6 linked regions of the Cricetulus griseus genome follow. The protein of the gene in region 3 purifies or fractionates together with the protein of the main gene of each other region. This does not show direct contact. Links are inferred from orthologs where the notes say so. Each region holds a gene or a part of one and is shown on either strand. Other genes may lie near its edges.

What was found.
Region 1: the proteins of Arid1a (region 3) and Bcl7a purify together in Homo sapiens (affinity purification with mass spectrometry; 5 studies listed by BioGRID and IntAct, counting the BioPlex papers as one, with this or other methods). This does not show direct contact. The link is inferred for Cricetulus griseus from reciprocal best matches to the Homo sapiens genes ARID1A and BCL7A.
Region 2: the proteins of Arid1a (region 3) and Ss18 purify together in Homo sapiens (affinity purification with mass spectrometry; 7 studies listed by BioGRID and IntAct, counting the BioPlex papers as one, with this or other methods). This does not show direct contact. The link is inferred for Cricetulus griseus from reciprocal best matches to the Homo sapiens genes ARID1A and SS18.
Region 4: the proteins of Arid1a (region 3) and Dpf2 purify together in Homo sapiens (affinity purification with mass spectrometry; 6 studies listed by BioGRID and IntAct, counting the BioPlex papers as one, with this or other methods). This does not show direct contact. The link is inferred for Cricetulus griseus from reciprocal best matches to the Homo sapiens genes ARID1A and DPF2.
Region 5: the proteins of Arid1a (region 3) and Smarcd2 purify together in Homo sapiens (affinity purification with mass spectrometry; 7 studies listed by BioGRID and IntAct, with this or other methods). This does not show direct contact. The link is inferred for Cricetulus griseus from reciprocal best matches to the Homo sapiens genes ARID1A and SMARCD2.
Region 6: the proteins of Arid1a (region 3) and Bcl7c purify together in Homo sapiens (affinity purification with mass spectrometry; 5 studies listed by BioGRID and IntAct, counting the BioPlex papers as one, with this or other methods). This does not show direct contact. The link is inferred for Cricetulus griseus from reciprocal best matches to the Homo sapiens genes ARID1A and BCL7C.

Annotation. Positions count from the first base shown.
Region 1 is NC_048597.1:103,112,820-103,116,834, reverse strand, and holds the start of Bcl7a (B-cell CLL/lymphoma 7 protein family member A), read right to left. Parts: upstream 2,801-4,015; 5' UTR 2,287-2,800; intron 2,260-2,286; exon of another isoform or gene 2,174-2,259; intron 2,060-2,173; exon of another isoform or gene 2,022-2,059; intron 2,016-2,021; exon of another isoform or gene 1,902-2,015; 5' UTR 1,898-1,901; coding exon 1,806-1,897; intron 1-1,805.
Region 2 is NC_048595.1:221,684,216-221,688,417, reverse strand, and holds the start of Ss18 (protein SSXT), read right to left. Parts: upstream 2,801-4,202; 5' UTR 2,712-2,800; coding exon 2,643-2,711; intron 1-2,642. UniProt on the Homo sapiens protein: Appears to function synergistically with RBM14 as a transcriptional coactivator. Isoform 1 and isoform 2 function in nuclear receptor coactivation. Isoform 1 and isoform 2 function in general transcriptional coactivation.
Region 3 is NC_048595.1:19,515,206-19,519,294, reverse strand, and holds the start of Arid1a (AT-rich interactive domain-containing protein 1A), read right to left. Parts: upstream 2,801-4,089; 5' UTR 2,666-2,800; coding exon 1,670-2,665; intron 1-1,669. UniProt on the Homo sapiens protein: Involved in transcriptional activation and repression of select genes by chromatin remodeling (alteration of DNA-nucleosome topology).
Region 4 is NC_048596.1:53,430,647-53,434,578, reverse strand, and holds the start of Dpf2 (zinc finger protein ubi-d4), read right to left. Parts: upstream 2,801-3,932; 5' UTR 2,683-2,800; coding exon 2,651-2,682; intron 1-2,650. UniProt on the Homo sapiens protein: Plays an active role in transcriptional regulation by binding modified histones H3 and H4. Is a negative regulator of myeloid differentiation of hematopoietic progenitor cells. Might also have a role in the development and maturation of lymphoid cells.
Region 5 is NC_048600.1:119,215,488-119,218,987, forward strand, and holds part of Smarcd2 (SWI/SNF-related matrix-associated actin-dependent regulator of chromatin subfamily D member 2), read right to left. Parts: intron 1,727-3,500; coding exon 1,542-1,726; intron 1,391-1,541; coding exon 1,348-1,390; intron 1,211-1,347; coding exon 1,088-1,210; intron 1-1,087. UniProt on the Homo sapiens protein: Involved in transcriptional activation and repression of select genes by chromatin remodeling (alteration of DNA-nucleosome topology).
Region 6 is NC_048596.1:73,057,040-73,061,040, reverse strand, and holds the start of Bcl7c (B-cell CLL/lymphoma 7 protein family member C), read right to left. Parts: upstream 2,801-4,001; 5' UTR 2,553-2,800; coding exon 2,461-2,552; intron 1,989-2,460; coding exon 1,910-1,988; intron 1,521-1,909; coding exon 1,412-1,520; intron 1,335-1,411; coding exon 1,170-1,334; intron 1-1,169. UniProt on the Homo sapiens protein: May play an anti-apoptotic role.

The sequences.
Region 1 (4,015 bases), on a different chromosome or scaffold from region 3:
AGCTTACACCGGCCCCTTTCTACCCTCCAGGAGGGTGACAGACAGAAGTGACTCACGCCCTGATATCAGTTCTTTCTTTGCACCAGGACTGAGGCAGGGGAGGGGGGGCACCTCAGCCTTCCCTTGAGAGTCCCACAGGAGAGGGGGCACTGTGTTGTTTTCCTCTGTGTTTTGGCCTGCAGCTGTTTCTGCCATTTTTAAATGGCTCCAGTTGGGCACTGGGCGCCTTGCTCAGCAGGGGAGCTCCCGGCACCCAGGACTTGGATCTCAACTTTGGAAAGCCTCCCCTTCTCACGGTTGTGAAAATTCTTTGTCCCACTGGAGCCAAACCCAGCCCACGGCAGGCATCCGGCCATCCGAAGACAGCCCTTTCCATAGGAGGCCCGGGAGCACGTGGACTTTATTGATTTTTCTCCTTGCCTTTTTTTTGTTGGGTTTCACTCTGAAAGGACAGCTAACTTGTGACACCACCAGACCTGAGACAGGCCCCCGAGTAGTGTTTTTTTTTTTTTTTTAAAGGCAATAACAACAGCGGCGTTACTCAAGAAATGACACCCCCCAAAGAAACAGCCTGCAGCGGGGCCTGGCCAGTTCCTATAAAGGACGGGACCAGCCCACGGCCGCTGACACTTAGGGGCACCCTCGCGGCTGCTCGTCTCCCTCTCGGACCCTGATGAAGCCGTGAGAAAAAAAAAAAAAAAAAGACATAATAAAGTTGAAATTGGGGAGCAGGGAGTTTTCAACAAGTCTGACCCAACCTGGAGGTGGACTACTGGCGCCTCCGGCCTGGCCTCTAGGGCCTCCTGGGAGTCAGATCCCGACGAGGCCCGTGAAAATGTTCCATCCTGCTAATTATAACGAGGCCACGCCGGGCACGATCTAATTTGAGCTTGAAAAACACGCACGGCCCACACCGAATCTCGCGGTCCCCTCCTCCTCCCCCAGTGCAGAGAACAAAAACAACGGTCGCTCGCTCTCTCCGCAAAACAAACACCAGCTCCAGCTCGGAGAAGGCAGACACGGCCCAGGACTTGGCTTCTGGCAGCAAACATCGCGTCCCCCGAGCTCCGGGTGCCGCGCGGAGCGGGTGGGAGCCGCGGGTGCCCCGCTCGCCAGCCGCGCCACCGCCTTCCCAGCGCTCGCCCCCATCTTCCTTCCTCGCCCGGAGCCCTCGCTCCAGGCTGCCCAAAGCGCTAAATTTAAACGGCTCGCGCTCTGCAAACTCCGCAGACTCGAGGGCGCCGAGGCCCGGGAGGCGGGGAGCTGCGGGCGGGTCGGGTCGGGGCGTGGGGTGTGTGTGTGTATGTGTGTGTGTGTGTGTGTGTGTGTTTTGGGGGGACACCGGCGCCGCGCCGCCCCGGGAGGAGACGGCGGCCCGCTCCGCGCCGCACAATGGAGCTCGCGCTCTGCCCGCCGCCACCGCCGGCATCACGGCCCCGGCGCGCGGGAAGCCGCTTTCATGTGACTTGCACAAAAAAACGAAATGGCTTCTGGGGCCGGCCGCGAACCCCCCTCTCCCGAGCTCCGAGCTCCGGGTTGCAGCCGCCGTCGCCTTCGCCGCCGCTGCCGCTGTCGCCGCCGCCGCCGCCGCCGCCGCCAGGTGGGCGACCCCGCGCCAAGCACACCTGGGCAGCGGACGCAGCCCCCGCGGGGCGCAGGTGACCCGGGCCGCGCGTCCTCGCCAACTCCGGGCCCGGGGCCGCTGCGCCCCGCGGTTCCGTGAGCTGGGTCCGGGCTAGCCAGCGGCCGTGGCGCGGTGCAGCGAGCCGGGGCGAGCGAGAGAGCGAGCAGGCGCCTCGGCTTACCATTTGCGCACTTTCTCGATAGCCGCCATGACCCTCTTGATATCATCTTTGGCCCGGCTCCTGGTCTCGGCTCGAACCGACCTGCCCGACATGGTTCTGGCGGGGAGGGAGAGAGAGAGGAGAGAGAGAGAGGCTGGGGGAGCGCGCCCGCCGGGTCCTGCTCGCCACACTCGCCCGCTCTCTCACTCGCGCACAGACACACACTCACACACATACGCGCACACACAAAGCCTGGTGCCGCCGCGCGCCCGGGGCCCAGTGCGCAAGCGCCGGGCGGCAGCTGCACAGAGCGAGGGGGAGCGGCGCGGCCGCCACTAGTGCGGCCTCCGGGCGCCGCCGCCCTCCCCGGGGAGCCTCGGGGACCTCACCCAGGGAAACGATCAGGGATGACCGCGACCTCCCAGCACGCGGGACTGGCCCGCGCGCCGACTCCCCCGGAGGCCGCGGATGTGGTGGGAACCCCTCCCCCCAAGACACACACCCTGGGGATGGCAGACAGGAGGCCGTGGGTGCCCTGGCCTTGGGTTGGTGGCCTCGGGTGCGATCGTGCAAGTTACTTGTCGGGCGCTTGACTTCTCAGAGTTGGAGGCGGTGGTTCCGGACTCGTGATCTTGGAAAGAGTTGAGGTGCCGGTTTCTGGCCAGCTAGCTGCCTTGTTGAAATGTGCGAGCTAGGACGTCTGCCTCACCATGATCAAACTAGGGTCGCAGTTTAAGGTGCCAGAGGCCGGTGGCTGTAGGCATTGTCGCAAGGCTTCCTTTTCCTTGGAGATAAATTGTCCCAGTCGGGGATAAAGCTCGCTGGCGTAGGTCACAGGACCACAAATTAATCTTAAACGGCTCCTGGTGGAAGCGCAGTTTACTGACCGGGAGCAGCTGGTAAACTGGACTGGTCCAACTCAGAAAGACTTTTGAGGGGCTGTTCCCGATCCCAGGACAGAACTAGGTGGCAGAATCTACTGCGGTCAATTAGGATAGGGACAGATAGGTAGGCAGCTGAGGCTAAACCGACTGGACCAGAGCAAATGCTTGCCCAGGTGGATGCTGGGAAAAGAGATGACCTAATGTGAGCAAACCAGTGCCTGGAGAAGAACTAGCCCAACTCAAGTCATTTCACAGGTGGGGAAACTGAGGAAAGGAGTTATTCCAGGTTGCAGCCATGAACTTCTTCTGTGACGGCATTGATTGTGTTACCCCCTAAAGTTTGGGGACGGTGCTGGGGTCTGGTAGAGAGAGCTAGCGGAGAATGAGAACAAAATGTATGGGCTTTCCCCCCAAGCACATCATTTTACCATTTCAATCACATGGCCCTAATGTGAAAAATAAAAATAAGAACAGTAGTCCGGCATGGTGGCCTACTCCTTTAATCCCAGCACTTGGGAGGCAGAAGCTGGCAGATCTCCGTGAGTTCAAGGCCAGCCTGGCTTATGTAAGGAATTCCAGGCTAGCCAGGACTAAATAGTGAGACCCTGTCTCTAAATAAATAAATAAATAAATAAATAAATAAATAAATAAAATCAAACACCCAGGTTGTGGTGGTGCACCCCTTTAATCCCAGCACTCAAGGCACAGGCAGGTGGGCCTCTGTGAGTTTGAGGCCATCTGGGCCTATAGAGTGAGATCTAGAATAGAGAAACCCTGTCTTGAAAAGCAAAATAAACAAAAAACTAAAACAATTATGTTAGAGAACCATTCTGAGTGCTGGATTGGAAAATATGCCATAAATCAGAAGTCTCATAATTTTGACCCTCAGTTCAATTCCCTGCTTGGGCCTGAGGGAATTAGTTTTTGTTTAGTGCTAGACAAGTGCTGTTCCATAGTTCCCACATAGAATGTGTGTGTGTACATGTGTATGTACATGTATGTATGTATGTATATACTTTAAAAATAAGACATAAACAAATCCACACATCAGGTCAGCAAGACAGCTTAGTAAATGCACTTGTAGCCAGGTGATGGTGGCACACACTTTTAACCCCAGCATTTGGGAGGCAGATGAAGGCAGATCTCTGTGAGTTTGAGGCCAGCCTAGTCTACAGAAGGAGTTCCAGGACATGCTCCAAAGCATGTTACACAGAGAAATCCTGTCTCAAACAAACTATATACATATATACATACATACATTTGCAGTCAAGCCTGAAGACAAGAGTTCAATTCCCAGAACCCACATTGTGGAAAGAGAGAACTGACTCCTGAAAGTTGTTCTGATTG
Region 2 (4,202 bases), about 200 Mb from region 3:
CTCTCTCTCTCTCTCTCTCTCTCTCTCTCTCTCTCTCTCTCACACACACACACACACACCCCTGAGTGCCCACCAGGTGCATGTGAGATCAGAGGACAACTCTGTGGCATTGGTTCTCTCCTTGAACCACAATGAGCCATCCTCCAGGCCCATGTTTTTGTTTTTGAATACAAAAACATTTAATTACCTATGCTATCTGTAACTACAATTTCCACTAGCTGAAAGTTGAGTCCCAATTGGTTCTGGAGCATTCTAATGCTTTGTAGGATGAAGGGAAAAAAATCTGTCCTTACCCAGACTGAAATACACACATCAATACAGCTGCCTAGGGACTTGAAGTAACTTCTTTTCTAACTGTATAATTTGTGATTCTCCAAAACAACACATAACAGTGTTCTCTATACATTTATTATATTTAATAGAATTTGAGTTTATAATATAAAATAAGGTATCTCAGAAAGTCTAAAAAACATAAGATACACTAGGCAGTGGTAGTACATGCCTTTAATCCCAGTGGTCAGAAGGCAGAGGCAGAGGCAGAAGCAGAGGCAGAGGCAGGCCGATCTCTGTGAGTTCCAGACCAGCCTGATCTACAGAGGTATTCAAGGACAACTAGCTCTGTTACACAGAGAAACCCTGTCTCAAAAAAAAACGAAACAAAACAAAACCTATAAGATACATAAATTATCATCTTATCATGGTAATAATCTAAGCAACCGTGGCTCTGAGGGTTAAATAATTCACCTCTACCAATGGTGCCTAACAAAGAAACCCACAGAAGACTGTTTTAGTGCCAGCATGCTGTCTCTAGCACGCCACCTAAGTTTGTAGGAGCTTTAAGATCAGGGTACTGCTGATCCTGAACCCACCTTTCATGATTTCATGAATAATCAGACGACAACACCAAAACCACCATCTCAATCATTCAATGTGATTTACAGTTAAAAACAAAGATCAATTGCTATTAATTGATATTTCCTGCACATTTATCATAATCTTCCATTACTAAGGGCAAACACTTCTCTAAGGTGTGCTTCATAAATATGATCACTAGATACCAAGAATATTTTTTTTTCTTTTTGAGACAGGGTTTCTCTGGCTGTCCTGGAACTCATTAAGTAGACCTGGCTGGCCTCAAATCCAGAGATCCATCAGCCTCTGCCTCCTGAGTGCCATCAGTTCAATACTCAAACCAAGGAAAGCATGACACATTAAACCACCCCAACCATCTGTCTGTCTCCCATCTAATACCAATGTCTGACACTGCAAACAAAACTTAAGCTGAAATACAGTTTTGAGAACTGGAGAGATGGCCCAGAGGGAGGACAAGAGCACTAAATACTCTTGCTGAAGTTTGGTTCCCAGTACCCACAATGCGACTCAAAACTGGCTGTTAACTCCGGTTCCAAACAATCTGATGCACATCACACACACACACACACACACACACACACACACACACACACACACACACTAAAGTTTTAGTCCATTTTTTCACTTCTCATCTGAGAATGAAAAATAACAAGTTAGCACCTTCTAGACCACTCGCGATAAATACCTAATAAGACACATAAGGAAAAACTCTACCGAGAAAAAAGAAAACGACACTTTCTAGAGTTCAAAAAGAAAGCGCCAATCTCTACAGAAACACTTCCTGCACGTGTGTAAGGAGACTGTTCAGCAGGCTACCACTAGAGAAAACAACTGCGTTTCCAGGCACTGCCAGGAGGGTTTCTTCAAAGAAAATAAAGCAACAGTTGGGCAAATGTCAAACGCCACACTACCAAGACCCTGACAGTAAACAGAACCCAGTGGCCATTAACCCACAAGTTTTCAAGGGTGTCCTGATTGGTACTACGAGTTGACTTTCTCTCCTAAACCTTGCTCCGGGGCAGGGAACAAGATGGAAATACTCCAGGCAAACTGTTAAACTTAACAAGCGACTTTTCAAAGTCTACCAAGCTGAGAACGAGAACAGTGCCTTGCTCTTAGACTCAGGCTCGGGGGATAATAAAGAACCTTTGTGTCCCCAGTTGGCAGTCCCAGGGCGGCGACTGGGGTGGCACTCTCCTCTAAGGACGCAGCTCCCAGCGCTTCTACCCTGACTCAATGCAAACGGCCCGCCCGTCGGTGTAGACGGCCTTAGACGGCCAACTCGGGGCGGCGGGGAGCAGGTTCGCCCTCCCGAACCACAGCGCCTGCCCTGCGCGCTCAGACGCATCTACGAGGAGCAGAGGGAGACGGATCGCGGGTGCTGCTCTGCGAATCCCCGTGCCCACTGGGTCCTTCCCCGCCTGACCCGAGCCTCTGCGGAAGGTTCCCAAGTTCTCCCGGGAGGGCCTCAACTCCGAGGAGTTTGCGGCGCAACACTCCGGGCTCCCGCTTCCGCGAGCGGGGTCCCGGCGGGGCGGGGCGACGCGGGAGTCTCGCGGGCCGCTCCCCTCCCGGCCCCGCCGAGCGCACGCACGCACCCCGCGGCGCGAGGCCACCCGGCCCGCGGGGAAACCGGGCGGCGGTTGCCGGCGCTTTTGTGCGGGCAGAGCAGGCGCCAAAGGGCTCCGCTGGCTTCCCGGCGCCCGCCCCCACCACCGCCGGGCCGCTCCCCCGCCTCGGCCCGCGCTCGGGCGCCTCTCCGAGCTCACCTTCTGGATGGCGGCGGGCGTGATCTCCCCCTTGCCCCGCTGCCTCGGGGCTGCGAACGCCACGGACATGTTGCCACCGAGCCCGCGATCGGCTAGTCCGGAGCGCTCCGGGGGCCACGGAGCTGGGGGCTCGGCGCCCGCCTCCCGGGCAGGTCCACCTCACCGCGCGCGGTGGGGGAGGACGCTCCGGGCCCGCGACCATCGCCGACACCGTCGGGCTGTGCGCGGAGCTGCCGCTCCCAGCCAGGCGTCTGGAAAGTTACTCGCTGCCAGGACGGCTGGAGCCCCGCGCCCGGTCGCCCCCCGCTCGGCTGTCTGTCCTCGCACGCTGTCGGGCTGCACCCCCGCATCCGCGCTCTGATGGTAGCGCCGCGCCGACCGCCTCCGCCCGGACGCTCAGGAAATGGTCCCGCCGCGGCGGGAGGGAGCCGCCCGGCCGCGCTGTCACAGGAAACGCGGGGCCCGCCCGCCAAACTGTCCCCAACTGCGCCCGCGACCCTCTGGGGAAGAGCGGCCGTCCTGGGTCTCCCGGGCTGCCGCCGAGAGGGAAAAGGGACAACTGGGACCCAGAAGCGTCTGCCGGCTCAGCACCGAGAACGCGGATTCGCTGGTTTAAATGGCTCCCTGCGCTCCACGTGCGCACCTCGGAGTAGCTCGCCAAGTCTCGCCGAACAGTTGAAAGGAACCCGACCCTCAGCTTACCTAGGGATAGTCCCTTCCCACACTTGTGGATCCACTTGATCTGACTTAGGGCCCTTCAAAGGAAGCTGTGAAAAGGCAACCTCTTTTCCAGTGAAATACTTAGTGCTTGTTAATTAGGCCCAAGCTGCCAGGCTTCAAGTCAGTATGAGGGAAATAAAACCAACAGCTGCAAATTAATACAGGAACCCGTTGCTACGGATTAATTCTTCAAACTTAGACTTCCCAATCACACAAAAGGAAGGTTAATATGCTGTGTTATTACTCAGTGATGCTCCAAAAATAGTGCCTAAATTGTTAATAAAATGGGAAAACGCATTTTTAAAGGCTATTTCAAATTTTCGCAGGTGAGTTTAATTCATCCAACGATTCTGAGTACCAATCCTGCTGTTTGGAAGTGCTGGTGGTAGAAATGAACAACTGGACAGGAATCTCTCAAGGATATTACTCTGTTATAGAAAAGACAACAGAAACAAAGTGTGTGTGTGTGTGTGTAACGTTTAACAATTAGCAAACAAGGACAGAACTACAGGGCTGTTGGTGTGATTGAAGGTGGAAACCCGGTTTTATTTAAAGAGATCTACAGAAAGGGCTGGAGAGATAGCTTAGCTGTTAAGAGCACTGGCTGCTCTTGCAGAGGACCAGGGTTCAATTCCAAGTACACAACTAACTCCAGTTCCAGGGCATTGACACCAATTCAATGCACACAAAATAAAAGTTAAGTAAATTAAAAAAAAAAAAAAAGCTCCTCAGAGAACTCCATTTTGGAAAGGGAGGGAGGGAGGAATATATATATATATATATTATATATATATATAATATATTATATATAATATAGAGAGAGAGAGAGAGAGAGAGAGA
Region 3 (4,089 bases):
AGTCATTGTAGTTCACATCTTTACACCCTGAAAGAAAAAAGGGAAAAAAGAAAAAAGACACAACTTAAAATACAAAGAAAAATATTGGCCAATCTCCATTTAAAGCTCTAAAATGACTGGTGGCAAAACTAATATTCCAGGAACAAGTCATAAATTTCTTACAACAAGCCTTTAGGAGACAATCCCTCTCTAAATCTGGAAGACATCAACATCTCTTTCAATTGAACTGTTCTCCCAAAGTTCAATTAACAAAAGAAAAGTGTTAACAAGATTCGACATGTAAACAAAGAAAGGCGAAAGCCTTGCTTAAAAGGGAACTCTTGATCCTAATATCAAATTTCATCAGAAAGCTCTGAGCAAAAATATTAACAAAAACCATCTTCTTCCCCTACAGATCCCACATTTGCCATTCAATAAAAAAGGCCAGTAAAATAATTTCGGTTCTGTAAAATGGAACAGTGTCAAAAATTACTCAAGACAAATGTACCCTCAGAGCCATCAAAGAACTCATTTATGCCATCAGGAAAGTCACGAAACCAAAACAAACAGCTAACCCATTGTAGAGAAAAACTCAGCTACTGTTCCAACAACACAGAATCTATTTCAGTCTGCATAAAACATAACAAGCAAAATAAATCCAAGGTACAAGCAAAATGCCATCGCCTCCTCTTTTGTTTCAAGCACAATGTAACAAGGGCAGCCTGTCTGGGGCTCTGCTCCTACTGATACAGTATTGCTGCTTAAACCTCCCTCCTCAAGGTCACAGCCAATTTCAGCTCTGGAATAAAAGGCGGATAGTGGCAGCGATGGTTTGGGTTATCACTGGCAGAAAAGCAGAGTGTAAAAGTTTATGAGCTCATCAGGATTGTTGTACCATTACATCAGAGGCAATTATAAATGGCCAAGAGCAGAAGATGGGGAGCCAATCAGATCACAGATAGGATGTCAACCTAAGACCAACTGTCTCCTGGCTTTGACAGAAGGATTTTACCTCCATAATTCAAATCCCAAACCAAAGCAATCTGCACTTACTACTCCAATCACTCAGCTGTTTACCAGCACTTCCAGAGAGAAGCCCAGGCCACTGGGCCGGCTGAGACTAAGGCAAGAGGTGGCCCGGGCGGCCCAGGGCGAACCACAGTCGGCCTCAAGCTGCCCCCGAGCAGGCCCCAGCTCTCCCCCGAGGTCCCCCGAGCCCTAGGGGCCACTCTCTAAAAGCACATATCAGGGGACGGCCGAGAGGAAGGCAAGGGGGGGGGGGACAGAGGAGCGGCAGGCGAGCCAGAAAATGTTGCTTCTGTCTCCCGGGTTCCTGACACTGCCTACACCCCGAACCCGAAACCCCCAGCACCCCCGCGCCCGGGCCTGGCCCTTCCAGGCCCACTTGGCTCCGCACCCCCCTGGAGCCCCCCAGAGTTCGAAAGCACCCGCGGAGAGGGAGAAACCGGACAGACACCTCTGGAGAAGGCCCACACAAAGGCTGACGAAGGGAAGGAGAGGAAGGCAGACAGGCAGCCATTTTAAGAGAGAAGAGCCAGACAATGGCAGCTCCCCGGCAGCGGGGGCCCAGACCTGAGGGGAGCCCAGGGCCGGGGCCTGCTCCCCGCGGCCGCCACCCACCCGCCCCCGGCCCCGCTCGCCCCAGCCCCCTCCCCGCTCAGCTGTGTACCTGAGGGGTCCGGGCGAGCGGCTGCCCCCCGCCGCCGCTGCTCCCGGGGCTCATGGGCGCGTGGTGGCTCCTTTGTTGGGCCCCTCCCGAGGCGGCCGCTGCCGCCGCCGCCGCCGCCGCCGCCGCAGCCCCCCAGCACTGCGAGGCCATGTCCGCCGGGCCCTTGCCCGCGCCCCCGTCCTGGGGCCCGCCGCCGTAGTCGCCCCCGGGGTAGCCCTGGTAGCCCCGGGCCGAGCTGGGCGACGTGAGCAGTTGGTTGAGGGTGGGGGTGGCGGTGGGCTGGGGAGTTCCCCCGCCGGCCGCTGAGGGGCCGCCTCCCCCCATGGCCCCGAAGCGCTGCTGAGCGAAGGACGAAGACGACGAGGAGGCTGAGGCGCTGGAGGAGGGAGGCGGCTTGGAGCCGGCGGCCGCCGCGCCGGAGCCCGGAGTGCCACCTCTCGGGGAGCTCAGCGCGTAGGCCTGGGGGGGCGGGGGGTAGGCGCTGCGGTTGGGGTAGTAGGAGTTGTACTGGTGGTTGGGGAAGCCGTGGTCGTGCGAGTTCTGCTGGGGCCCGGCGTAGGGCTCCAGGCCCCCGCCGCCGCCGCTCTGCAGCGCTGCCAGGCCAGGGCTTTGTTGTCCGCCATGTTGTTGGTGGAAGACGGCGGCCGCGGCGGCGGCGACGGCAGACGGGCTCCGGCCGTAGGGCTGCCCGAAGCCGTAGGCTGGGGGCGGCAGGGCGGCCGCAGCGGAGTGAGGAGGCGCCCCCACCCCGTCGCTGCTGCCGCCGCCGCCGCCGCCGGGCGGCTCCGTGAGGTTATTGTTCAGGGCGGGCCTAGGCCCGTTCGAGTTCTTCAGGTCCGGCTCCGCGCCGGCCCCGCCGCCGCCACCGCCGCCACCGCCGGCTCCGCCGCCGCCGCCACCCCCATTGCTCTCGGCCCCGTCCTGCAGCTCCTTTCCCAGCGGCTGCGGCGGCCCCACAGCGGGGCCCTCGCTCTCCTGCCCGGCGGCTGCCTTCATTTCCCCGCGCTCGGCCGCTGCCGCTGCCGCCGCCGCCCCGCCGCCGCCACGCCTCGCCCCCCGCCTCCTCCGCTGCTGCTGCTGCTGCTGCTCGGCTTTCTTCAGCTCCGAGGGCGGCGGCGGCGGGTTGCCCAGGCTGCTGGGCGGCGGCGGGCGACCTGCGCGGCCATGATCCCCGCTGTCTCGTCCGCGGAGAGACCCGGCCCTGTCTTCGTCTTCTCCCCCTCCCACCCCGCCCGGGCCGAGTCCCCCGGGCTGCCCTCCCCACCCGCCCGGGCGGGCCTCGCGGGGCTCCGCTGCTGCGCTGTGCTGCGCTCGCTCGCTCCTCTCCCCCCGCCCCGCCGGCTCAGGCTCCGGGCTGGCGGCGGAGGAGGAGGAGGAGGCGGCGGCGGCGGCAGCCGAGGCGCCGGCGGCTCAGCTGCTCCCGGCTCTGTAGGCTCGGGACCCGGCTCTCCCGGCTCATTCCCCCCAAGCCCTTGCCTGGGAATGAGGGGGGCGGTGGAGGCTCCGCTCCCCAGGGCCTGGCCCCGCTGTGACTCTCCGCTTTCTGCTGCCGGAGAAAGGAGGGAGGGAGGGAGGGAGGGAGGCGAGGGGGAGGGCGGGAAGGGGGAGGGAGCGGGGGGAGGGGGGACCCGGACGGGCGGGCTGGAGGGCGCGCGGCAGCGGACGGGGCGCCGGGGCAGAGTAGGAAGGAGCGCGGCTCTGGCGGGCGCCCTGCCTCGCCTCCCCGGCCGCGGCTCGGGCCGAGGCTGCTGCGCGGCGGCGGCGGCGGCGGGCGGGCGAGCGAGGCGGGGCGGGCGGGCGGGCGGCGGCGGGACTGAGCGGCTAGAGCGCCCCACTCTCCTCCGAGTCCCCCTCACTCCGACACGAGGCTCAGCACTGCCATTTTACCCAGCGCCGTCGCGGCCGCCTGAAAAACCCGGAGTGGAGCGCGGAGCGGGCGCAGGCCGTGGAATGGACTCGCTCCCTTCCCCTCACAAAGGAGGAGGGGAGAGAACGAGCCGCGGCGGCGGCGGCGGCAAGCCCTCAGCCTCTTTCGCTCGGCAGCGCCGCCGCCGAAGGCTTCGGGGAAAACCCGGTCCGGAGCTGGCGCCTCCGGAGCCTGCGCCGCCTCTCTCGCGGCGTTCCCATCCTGGCCTGTCCCCTCCTGGCCGCCCCGAAGGGAGCCGGCCGCATGAACTTTACCCGCGCCTGCAAAATTGGCCTGAGCCCGAAACCGCGGCCGCCGCGGCCCGGGCCTGACCCCCCTGGCACAGGGCCTGGTCTCTTGGCTGCGACTTAGCACCTCTCCAGCACTTTTCTTCTTCAAAGCCTTTTGCAGACCTGCTGAGTGCGCCCTGCTTCTTACCCCTTTGGCTAGCCCCAAAGGAGGACTGACCATTGTTCAAACTATCCGTTCTCAGGTCCCTGCCCTCATTAGCCCG
Region 4 (3,932 bases), on a different chromosome or scaffold from region 3:
ATGAGCTCTAACCAACCAGGATTCTGAGTAAGGAGGCATGGAAAGCAGGCGGGAGTAGGTCTCTCTGGCTAATACCTACCACTAAAGCTATGCCAACAAGTCCTGATGTAGAATCTGATGGGGACCCTCACTGAGCATTCACAATAGACCACTGCATAGCTTAGTTTGTGCCCAGCAAATGAAAAGGACACACACCACACACAGCAACACTACAAGTACAGTCTGACTCGATTCAATGAGCAGTAATGACTGTAATTAAGGTACGAATGTGTTGGAAAGCACAGCACAGAAAGAGAGCAAGCTCACATTTGCTGCCTTTAGGAGGCAGCCACGTCCTTACCACACAGGAAAATTGGATAAACAAGGCTGAGTGCAGCAGCTCCTTTGTTTCTGCTGATGGGAATTGATACTGACACTGGAAGTCAAACGGAAGGAAGGACCAGCCCACGGGGCTAAAGGCTGTAAAGCCAGAGCAAGGAGATTGAGATGTCTGGTCAGGGCTCTTGCAGGTTAGGTGCAACTCTAGAAGGTGGAACAAGTGGTCTAGTAGGTAAGATGGCCAGAAATGAAATGTACGTACATACCAGAGCACACTCAAGGTATGTGTGTGTTTTAAGAGAGCAAAAGGGGAGAGTATACTTATAAAGTCAAGACTCCTGTGGCAAAAAAATTTCAAGCTTCTATTATTCTATGGACCTAAGGACATTCTATTTACCTAACTCATGAAGTTTTTAAAACTAGTTAGCAGCCATGTTTATTTTAGAGTAGTATTTATCCTAATAAGATCACCATAAAGACTATTTCAATTACGACATCATAGTTGAGAAAAACAGATCATTAAAATGGAAGTCTTCTCACAGGAAAAATGAAAGAAAAGATGAGCCAGTGGTCTTGCCCTCAATGTGTGATGTCAGCTGACAGAAGACTTAAGCACACAATAATAATAATAATAATAATAATAATAATAATAATAAATAGCACCAGAAGAGCATCTTTCAGGGTGAGAATGGTATGAGAAGCCCCTCTGTAAGGGGAAGCTCTGAGGAGGCACGTAATAGTGGTGGTCCACAGTCTTCTATACAACTGGGGAGAAGCACGCTGGCATCTCACTGACACTCAGGAACCAGTGGGCAGCCACCACTTAAAATCCATACCCCCCCCCCATGGGCTGGCAATTCCATTTTCTGGAAGACCATCTTTCAACACAAACAGTTCCATTAACATGTAATTCTGAAAGCTTAGGCAAACACATTCCTCTATAACAGTAAGCTTTCCAGGGGTAAAAGCAATGACCCTTTTTCCACGGGAAACTTGTCTACCCCCCTCCCCAATGGCATAGGGAAAGTCAACAAAGAAAAAGGCAGGGTAACAAAGAACTAACATCTGAGTCCAGAAGGAGAACTATAAAAATGTTAAATCAACAGCCTCATTTACGAATTGAGGGAGATGTCAGACTGAAGAGAGCTGGGGAAACTGGAGTGGGCAGATCAGAAATAAAGATAATCGTGCCGGGAGGAGGGGTGGCTGAAAGAAGCAGCAGGATAAAGCCAAAAGCAAGTTAAAAAAAAAAAAAAAAAGTCACAAGAGAAGGCACTTAGCTTAATGGAAGTGGGAAAGCATTTTCGAAGAAAAGGGCTCCAAGCGGCGGCGGGGGAGAAGCAACTTAACCTTAACGGGGGGAGGGGGCTCTTGCGACGACTGGGAGTCTGCCCACGACAAAGACGGGCGAGAGAAGCTGTGAAAAGTCCCCCAGAATAGTTCCCAAACCTTTACTTTGTCATTCAGAATCCAAAAGCTTTGACTGGACAGCTGAATACTTCAATTTTTCTCCCCTTCTATCACGCCCAACATGGCTATTAAAGAGAAGGTCATTTTTTAAGTCTAATGGGCATTAACCACCCCATTCCAAAAGTCGCTCAGATTCTTCTTCGAGGAGGAAGGAGGATGAAACACATCAAAACCCCAAACATCTGTAACTCACGGGAAGCGGCTAAGAGGCCAGTCCCCATTCCCAGTGTTTCCCAATAACCGTTAACTTCAGCACAATGGCATCTACGGTACAGAGAACGCCCACCTAGGGACTCCTGCTAGGAGATCAGGGGGGTTCCGGTCTGGTTCCCCGCTCCCCGGAGTTCTTTCCCTGCCGGATCTATCTACTCTTGGATCAATTCTTTCCAAGAACACTTAGTCTCCGGCACTCCGGATTTCCTAGTTAATGTCACCGGACTGCTCAAGTCTCGGGACCCCAGGGAGGGCGGTGGGCGGGGAAGGGACCGCGACCTCCAGGGCCGCTCGGCCTCGGCTGGCTCCGCGAAACTGACGCGTCTCCGGAGAGGGGCCGAGAACCGTGCGCCCCTCGGTCACAGCCCGTAGCTACGCTCGGGACTCGGCTCGCGAGGAGGACGCCCGTCAGGGGCTCCCGTGTGCCCCCTCCCGGCCTCCACAAGTTTCCTAAAGAAGCCTGGCGTCTTCTCCGGAGTCTTCTGTTGCCCTCCCTACCAGGAGTCGCACAGCAAGGACTTCCCGGGCACGTCCTTCCCTCTGTCTTGTCTCCTCCCGCACCCCCGTCTCTACTCCCAGGCCCCTCTGCATGACCTCTGGTCCGGGAGGGAGGGAAAAAAAAAGAAAGAAAGAAAGAAAGACCACTCACAGCTTCACTACATTCTCCACCACAGCCGCCATCTTCCCTGCTCCTCTCCCTCAGGCCGGGAGGCCCCGAAGCCCGCAACGCGCAGGCGCTAAGCCTACTCAGGGCACACAGTACTCGACTCTCTGCGCAGGCGCAACCGAGGGTGCGCGCACGCACTAGCCCACCCGCTCAAGAGCTGGGAACGAGCGCGAGGGAGCCCAATGCGCAGGCGCGGCTGGAGAGACGAACGCGCACGCTGCTTCTCCGTCTAGAGGATCCGCCTCCTCCGTTTAGCGGAGCCTCAGAGAGGGGGTCTGCCGTGGCTGGAAAGTGAGAAAGGTAGGCGAAAAGGCTACGGAGACAGGTGGCGACTGTTAGCCGCAAGGGAGCGGCAGTTAGTTGGGCAGTGAAAAGCCACTAGGTACCAGTGTTCCCAAACATCGACCCGTTTTAAAAGTGAACTCCCAGGGTAGGATGCTCGTTGGCCTGACTCCCGCGTTCTGGCAATTACCATACTTTCCTGGCAGTAATCCTCGTCCTTGAACTTCACTGGTACCTACCTCTTCTCTCTTAAAATAATAATAATGCTTTCCTTTAGTGTGTATGCTTCTCCGTGTGTGCGTGTATGTGCCGTGGTACATGTGTGGGGATCAGACAGCAATTTGCAGAGTCCGTTCTTTCCTTCCACTTTGTGGGTTTGGGGGTAGTCAAGGTTGTCAGGCTTGGTGGCAAGTGCCCTTAGCCGCTGAGACATCCCACCAACCCTTTGCTTGCTATATTCCTAAGCACATTCACACCAGTGAAAATTTCCAATGTGATGAATGTAGATAAATGGAGGAGGCAGATCCCTCAAATACCACAATCGAAATGAAGTCCTAAAATACAAAGAGGCATTATTGGACAGCCAACAATGTCAAGTGTCCCTATGGTACACTGTCTTTTAAATTTTTACTTGTATTTTTTGTTTTGGTTTTTGAGACGAAATTTCAAGCTGGACAATATGGTGCATCCTTTAATGTCAGCACTCAGGTGACAGAGGTAGGCAAGTCTCTGAGTTCAAGGCCAGCCTGGCCCACAGAGCTACACAGAGAAACCCTGTCTCAAAAAACAAACTAACTAAAAAAGATTTGTGTATATGTGTATATATGTATTCCATATGTGTTCTCTGGTAGAGCAGCAAATACTCTTAACCACTATCTCCAGCCCTCAGGTGTAATTTTCTTTTAATTTTTAAACTATGTTTTGTTTGCAGGTATGTCTGTGCACATGTGTGCTTGGTGCTAGGATGAGGCCAGAAGAGGGC
Region 5 (3,500 bases), on a different chromosome or scaffold from region 3:
GGAGGGCAGTCTGGGGAGGCGTGTACCGTCAGGGAGCCCTGCTCACCCCTGAGCAAGGCCGCCCGTCAGGCAGGGAGGGCAGTCTGGGGAGGCGTGTACCGTCAGGGAGCCCTGCTCACCCCCGAGCAAGGCCGCCCGTCAGGGAGGGAGGGCAGTCTGGGGAGGCGTGTACCGTCAGGGAGCCCTGCCCTAGCACCCCCGAGCAAGGCCGCCCGTCAGGGAGGGAGGGCAGTCTGGGGAGGCGTGTACCGTCAGGGAGCCCTGCTCACCCCCGAGCAAGGCCGCCCGTCAGGGAGGGAGGGCAGTCTGGGGAGGCGTGTACCGTCAGGGAGCCCTGCCCTAGCACCCCCGAGCAGGGCCGCCCGTCAGGGAGGGCAGTCTGGGGAGGCGTGTACCGTCAGGCAGGGAGGGCAGTCTGGGGAGGCGTGTACCGTCGGGCAGGGAGGGCAGTCTGGGGAGGCGTGTACCGTCAGGCAGGGAGGGCAGTCTGGGGAGGCGTGTACCGTCAGGCAGGGAGGGCAGTCTGGGGAGGCGTGTACCGTCAGGCAGGGAGGGCAGTCTGGGGAGGCGTGTACCGTCAGGGAGCCCTGCTCACCCCCGAGCAAGGCCGCCCGTCAGGGAGGGAGGGCAGTCTGGGGAGGCGTGTACCGTCAGGGAGCCCTGCCCTAGCACCCCCGAGCAAGGCCGCCCGTCAGGGAGGGAGGGCAGTCTGGGGAGGCGTGTACCGTCAGGGAGCCCTGCTCACCCCCGAGCAAGGCCGCCCGTCAGGGAGGGAGGGCAGTCTGGGGAGGCGTGTACCGTCAGGGAGCCCTGCCCTAGCACCCCCGAGCAGGGCCGCCCGTCAGGGAGGGCAGTCTGGGGAGGCGTGTACCGTCAGGCAGGGAGGGCAGTCTGGGGAGGCGTGTACCGTCGGGCAGGGAGGGCAGTCTGGGGAGGCGTGTACCGTCAGGCAGGGAGGGCAGTCTGGGGAGGCGTGTACCGTCAGGCAGGGAGGGCAGTCTGGGGAGGCGTGTACCGTCAGGCAGGGAGGGCAGTCTGGGGAGGCGTGTACCGTCAGGCAGGGAGGGCAGTCTGGGGAGGCGTGTACCGTCAGGGGCTTCTTGATGGCCTCTTGGATCTCCATCCGCTTGCGAGCGATGGTCTGGTCCAGCTTCCTCTCAAAAGCCAAGAGGTCCATGTACGCCTGAGACTCTGGGACAAGCTCCCGGATCTGCAGATTGAGAAATGCAGCGGCTTGCTCCACCAGCTCCAGTTCTACAGTCCTTCCTCCCTTCCCCATTGCAGGATTGGGGAAGATGGCTCTGATGCTAGCCAGCCAGAGCTGGGCAGGCTTCCTAACACACTCACTCGCTGAGGTAGAACCTTATCTGCCATCTTCCTCCTCTTTAGCCTAGGAAGGAAACAGAAACCATTTAAGAGGTTAACAGTCCAAACTCTCCATCTTCAAAACCCTCTCCCAAATTGCCAAGAGTCTCCTTGGGGTCAAGGTAGAGGGAAACTGAACGCCAGAGATGAGCTAGCAAGGCACAAGAATGTCTTACCCTCGGCGCTGGGCAGGCATTGGGGGCTGGGCCTGAGGCACAAGCAGGCGTTTTCGGAATGGATCCATCATGGTAGGTGGCATGCCAGGTCGAAGCGGAGCAGCTGTGCCAAACGGGGAGCCAGCTGGAGGTCCCACCTGCAAGCCAGCCATGGGCATCCTGCTTCCTGGTGACATGCCAGGTCGCTGGGTAAAGTGGAACAGTGGGGGTGCACAGGTCAGTGGCAAAGCCCTACGAGGTCCATAGCCCATACCCTCCATCTCTCTCGAGCATGGGGAGACCTGCTGGAGACCAGGAACAAAGGGGAACAGGCGCCTGAGCCCAGCGTGTAAACCACACCTGCCCCGCCCCTGCAACCGCCCTGGCAGGCAGTGCCAACAAATGAGGCAGCCAGAGTCCATGGGTGGGAGGGGAGCACCACTTGCAGAAAGAAGGGCCTGGGGAATTTTTTAGGACTTATCACCCCTTCCCAGCTTCAATATGCCATGTCCTGCACCCTGGGGTGAGCCAGCTTTGAGCAATTTATTGTCTTTAGATGGGCCACTATATACTCCCTATTCCTTTCCCCATCCTGAAGAAAAAACATTACTTGGGTGATTAGGGGCAATGCATAGCAACCCAAGGGAGTACAGGAGTTATAACAGTCTGATGGGGTATGCATGTCTAGTGGCATGACTGGGGAAGAAAGGCAGTCAGTGGGGTGGCAAGCCATCAGGCAGCAGCACCCCAGGTGAGCAAGGACAATAGGATGGCTTGGCCATGTCACAGCTTGTGGAGATGGCCTCAGGAGAGTGCAGACACCATCTGGCCACCATATGGCCTCCACATAGCCGGGACCTGTCCTTCCCCCACCCTTCTCTCTCACACTCTTCCCTGCCACCATGCCCCTACCTATGTCAAAGGACTCCCAAAAGGGAAGTTATGGTTCTTGGGAGCCTGTGGGAATGAGAGCAGCAGACATCTGGATTCTGCCCATGGTCTAGGCACCACCTGGCAGCCAGGCTGCTGCTGGTTCAACTTAACCCTAGACATCCCAAGCTGCAGAATAAGACTGACCTGGGATGCAAGGGCTTAATAAGGGTCAACAGCAACAAGTAGCTTCTTGGTTTCTCATCCAAGGCCCTGTTCCCCAACATTTCTGGGAGCCCTCCACCTCCCAACTCCATTCACATGGCTGCTGCCTGAAAGGCCTGTTTGGCAGCTCTGCCTTGCACAGACTGTCCCTGGCAGCTTCACAGGGCTGGCCCCAGGGCCCAGGTTATGCAATCAATCAGTACAACCAGACAACCAGGCCAGCCTGGGTGGAGATTCACACCAAGTTAAAGGAGACCCCCCTCTCAGCATCCTGGAGATGAGTCTCTGCAATTTCTTTATCCAGCACTAAACCCATGTTCTCAACCACAGAAGGTCAGATTCATGACCAGTAGCAGAGACGGAGGGAAAGAAACATGACCCAGAGACAAGGAGCAGGGTGACAGGGAGGCATGTGGCAATTGAGGAGTTAAAAGTGGGAGACCCTGGGACCTCGGGAGTCCTGCCACAAGTCTCTCCTCATCAGGAAGAAATTCATCAAAGCTGTTGAAAGGCAAAAGCAGCCTGTTTCTCTGCCCTAATAAGCCAGAGCCAGAAATTAAAGGGGGGGGGAGGGTAGACAACAACTCAGGGTTGCCACAGCTGTAAGACCCTCCACCATCATCCAAGACTTCAGGTTTTCCTAGGGTAATTGCAGCTATAAGCTGGGGTGTTCAGTGCCCCCAAGCTCTTCACTGAAGTTCATAAAGCCTGTTCTACTGCTGAGCCCTCCAGGAAATCCCAAGTCGAAGCAGCCCAGGCAGGCCTGGAATAGGCCCCACCCAGACATCTGCTCCAGACTTCTGGGGCTCAGGCTCCAGGCCCCCAGCTCACCCAGAACCTCAGGGGAAGGCTGCTCACAATTCAAGTCCCAGTTCCCCCTGGCCA
Region 6 (4,001 bases), on a different chromosome or scaffold from region 3:
AGCTCTCTACCACTGAGCTGCATCCTATCATTTCACATTAGCAAAGGTATCTGGAACAATCTAGACATGGTCCTGAGGCCCGCCCATGTCGTGGTGTTCTTGTCGGGGGAACGATTTCAGTGGTAACGGTTTGTATGGCCCCAGTGTCAAACTAAAGAACCAAAGGCTGCTGGGTGTTGGTGGCGCACGCCTTTAGTCCCAGCACTCAGGAGGCAGAGACAGGTGGATCTCTGAGTTTGAGACCAGCCTGGTCTACAGAGTGAGTTCCAGAACAGGCTCCACAGCCACAAAGAAACCCTGCCTCGAACCCCGCTCCACAAAACAAAACAAAACAAAACAAAACAAAACGAACCAAAGGCCATGTGGAGCCACTGAAAGAGATGAGGCAGAAAAATAATCATTTGAATTTGTGCTTCAGGAAAAGCTGTTCTGCAGCTGTGTGGAGACCACTAGGGACAGGCGGGGAGGCCAGAGCAGGCAGAGTAAGAAGTGAGAAGGCAGGGCCCGAGGCACAGAAATCAGCCACACTTGGGAAGCAGTACTGACCAGACAAAGGACCGACTATATGAAGAGAGAGGCTGAAGAGGGCTCAGGCCCAAGGTGTTGGCTCACTGGCTCTGTGAGTCTGGACATCTTTCTCTGGATGACGGGCTCCTCGTGTATAAAGAGCAATCGTAATAGGATCATCCTCCCATAAAGTGACAGTGAAGATTAAACGAGAAAACAAAAAACAAACGTTGAAGTGCTCAGAACACCTAGCGGGGAAGGGGCTTTGCTAGCCGTTACTCTACAGCTATTAATCTCTCTGATCATCAGAATCACTTATTCCCCCAACAAGTATTTCCTGAACATCTATTATGTATCCCACAGTACTCTGATGTTACAGTAATGAGCGAGATTGGCATGACTGACATGAGATGGTAACAGGAAAAGACAATAAGCAAGCAAAGAAATAAATATGCATAAAAATTTCAGATGGTGATGTGCTACCTACAAATCTAAGAAGCCAGAGGACTGAAACAGCAGCTAGATGTAATTTCTGCCAGGGTCAGGGAAGGTTGGGGGTGGGCAGGGCAGGATGGGGAGAAAGGACATGACAGAGGAACAAGAACAAGATGGTGGGTTCAACTTTGAAGAGGAGAGGGCTCCTGAGAGCCACCTGGTCCTACCTCTCTCTTGGCCCAACTGTGGGGGCTGAGTATCCTCTGTAATAGCTTCTGGGGGTCCAGTCGGGGACCCAGGACGGCTGGGCTGAGGAGTCCCCCCAGGGCTGGGCTCAGTGCCCTTCTGCAGTGAACCTTCTGAATGGAAACTCTGGTTGCTGTTCTCATCTGCTGAAGCAAAAGCCGAGTTGTTGGCCAGAGGGGCCCCAGTAGCTTCCTTACCTCCCCATTCCAAGATCTGTACATACCATTGAGGTCCAACAGGATGAGGGGGCCACCCCCTCTGGGACTGGTGCCCCTGCCGCGTCTCTCCCGGCCACGGGATCTCTCTGTCCCGCCTCCTGCCCGACGCCTCTCCTGAGGGTTAGAGTGGTAAGGTAAGAGCCCGTTGTCTGGTGAGCGCTTACAAATCTCAATATAAATAAGGAAACCTGGGCTCAGGGAAGCAAGAGGGGCTGTCTCAGGTTGTGTGGGCTGAGTTAGGTCTTGAACTCGGGGCGCGGGGGGGGGGGCGGGGCGCACTGGTGTGTGTGTGTGGTGTGTGTGTGTGTGTATGTGTGTATGTATGTATGTATGTATGTATTTGTGCGTGCGCGCGCGCGCATGTGTGTGTGCTAATAATCGTTACCATCTGCCTGAGTTCCACACTGGAGACTCCAAGCGACTTAAGGTGGAGGCCAAGGTGGGGAGGGAAATTGCCTGAGGTTGCACAGATGCAAGGTCTGTTGGGGGTTGGGCTTGCTCACCTCCTCCTGAGGATCCACCACAGGAACCCACTTGAAGATTCGAAGGGAAGTGTCACCCACAGTCACCCAGCGCTTCTCCCTGTGAGAGGGCAGGAGACCCGGTCAGGGAGGTGAAGGTTGAGCCCCATACAGCAGGGGGCCGGGGAGATGTGCTAGGGTAAGGGAAGCTTCGCTTTCAGGGCATAGAAGCAGAAAGAGCCCTGCAAAGCCCAGGACATAGACGGATATAACTTAGAGCTGCGGTTCTGCAGACACCTGGAGCACTCGGCAGGGCGCCACCAAGGCCTGGGCCAGGGACTCTGGCAAGGAAGACCCGGGGCCGAGCTTGCAAGAGTGTCAAAGCTCCAGGGGGCGGGGCATAGATGAGGGCTCCCGCTCTGGGAAAGCACCACTCCGGACCACGCTTTGTAGACCTCTGGGAATTGCCAGGGGAAGGGGGAGCCCAGTCGATTCAGAGCACAGCTGGTGGGCGGGGGCAGCTGGCCAGGAAAGGGCGGACGCTTTAGGAGGAGGTGGCTTGGCTGTGTCCCTGGCCCAGGGGCAGCGCTCACCATCTCCGGACCTTCTCGATGGTCGCCATCACCTTCTTGATGTCATCTTTGGCCCGGCTCCGGGTCTCGGCCCGCACGGTCCGGCCGGCCATGCTGGCGGGGCTGGGGCCGGGATAGAGCCCGTGGTGGGACGGCCTGCGGTCCGGCGATCTCAGGCTGCGCGCCAGGCCCCGGCGCCGCTCTTTCGGCCTGCCGTCCCTCCGGGAGTTGGCCGCGCCCTCCCTCGCTCCCCAACGCCTCCGCGCGTCCCCGCCTGGCTTCCTGCGACCGCGCCCCGCCCCGGCCCGTCCCCGGAGCGGCCCGGGCGGCGCGGGCGGCTAGAGCCCCGGCCTGGAAGCCCGGCCAGCCCCGCCCCGGCCCGGGCCCGCCCCTCGGGGCGCACGGACGCACAGCGCCCTCTGCCCGCCGCCGAGAGGGAGAGCTGGGGGGCAGCTGTGCGGCTGGACGCGCGCGGCCCGAGCGAGGCGGTGCGTTCCGGCCACGTGGGCACAGGGGTGCGCGAGAGGGACTGTCCTGGTGTGCGTCCGCGGCGGGTGGGCGTCCCTGAAATGCTGTGTGTGCGTGCGTCCGCCCTCTCCAGGCTGTTCGATCCTACGTTGCCCAACTTAACTTGTTCACCCGTTCATCCAAGTCTCATTAACAGCGCCAAGTGCGTGGCAGACTTTCGAGTGGGGAGCGGCCTCCTCAGCCAGAATGGCGGAAGTGGAAAAGACAGACCGTGTAGATGAGGTAGCAGAACACCTCGACATTCCTTCAGTCAGGGAGTGTCATTGGTAGAGATACTTTGGAAAACTGGCAGTTCTCCAGGGAAGCTAAACTTATGCCAACCCGGTCTCCCAGCAATTCCAGTCCCAAGCTGTCAACGCCCAACCGAAGAAATGGGTGCTGTCTAGTTTTTTGTCTACTCGACATAAGCTAGGGCCATCTGGGATGAAGGGACCTTGATTGAGAAAATGCCTCCATCGTGTTGCCCCATAGGTAAGTTTGTGGGGCATATTCTTGATTAATAATTGATGTGGGAAAGCCTAGACCACTGTGGGCAATGCCACCCCCTGAGCAGATGGGTCCTGGGTACTCTAAGAGAGCAGGCTGAGAAAGCCATGGGGAGCAAGCCAGTAAGCAGCGTTCCTTCATGGCCCCCATTTCAGTTCCTTCCTCCAGGTTCCTGCTTTTGAGTTCCTGCCGTGACTTCCGTTCACGATGGACTGTAACAGTTAACTGAAATAAACTCTTGCCTCCCTAAATTGCTTTTAATCATGGTGTTTATCACAGCAATGGAAACCTCACTAGGACAAAATGCTTCTATATGAACACCAAGACATGTGTACTGGTATACACATAACACCAACCGGGAAGCAACTCCTCAGCAGAATGGAATGAAAAACCAGTTACAACCTGTTTATACCATGGACACAGATATAACAGCCAGAATGATCAAAGTCCTGCTATGCCCAACAGTGGGGATGAGTCTTTTTTTTTTTTTTAAAGATTTTTATTTATTTATTTCTTATGTATACAGTCTTCTGCCTGTATGCCAGCAG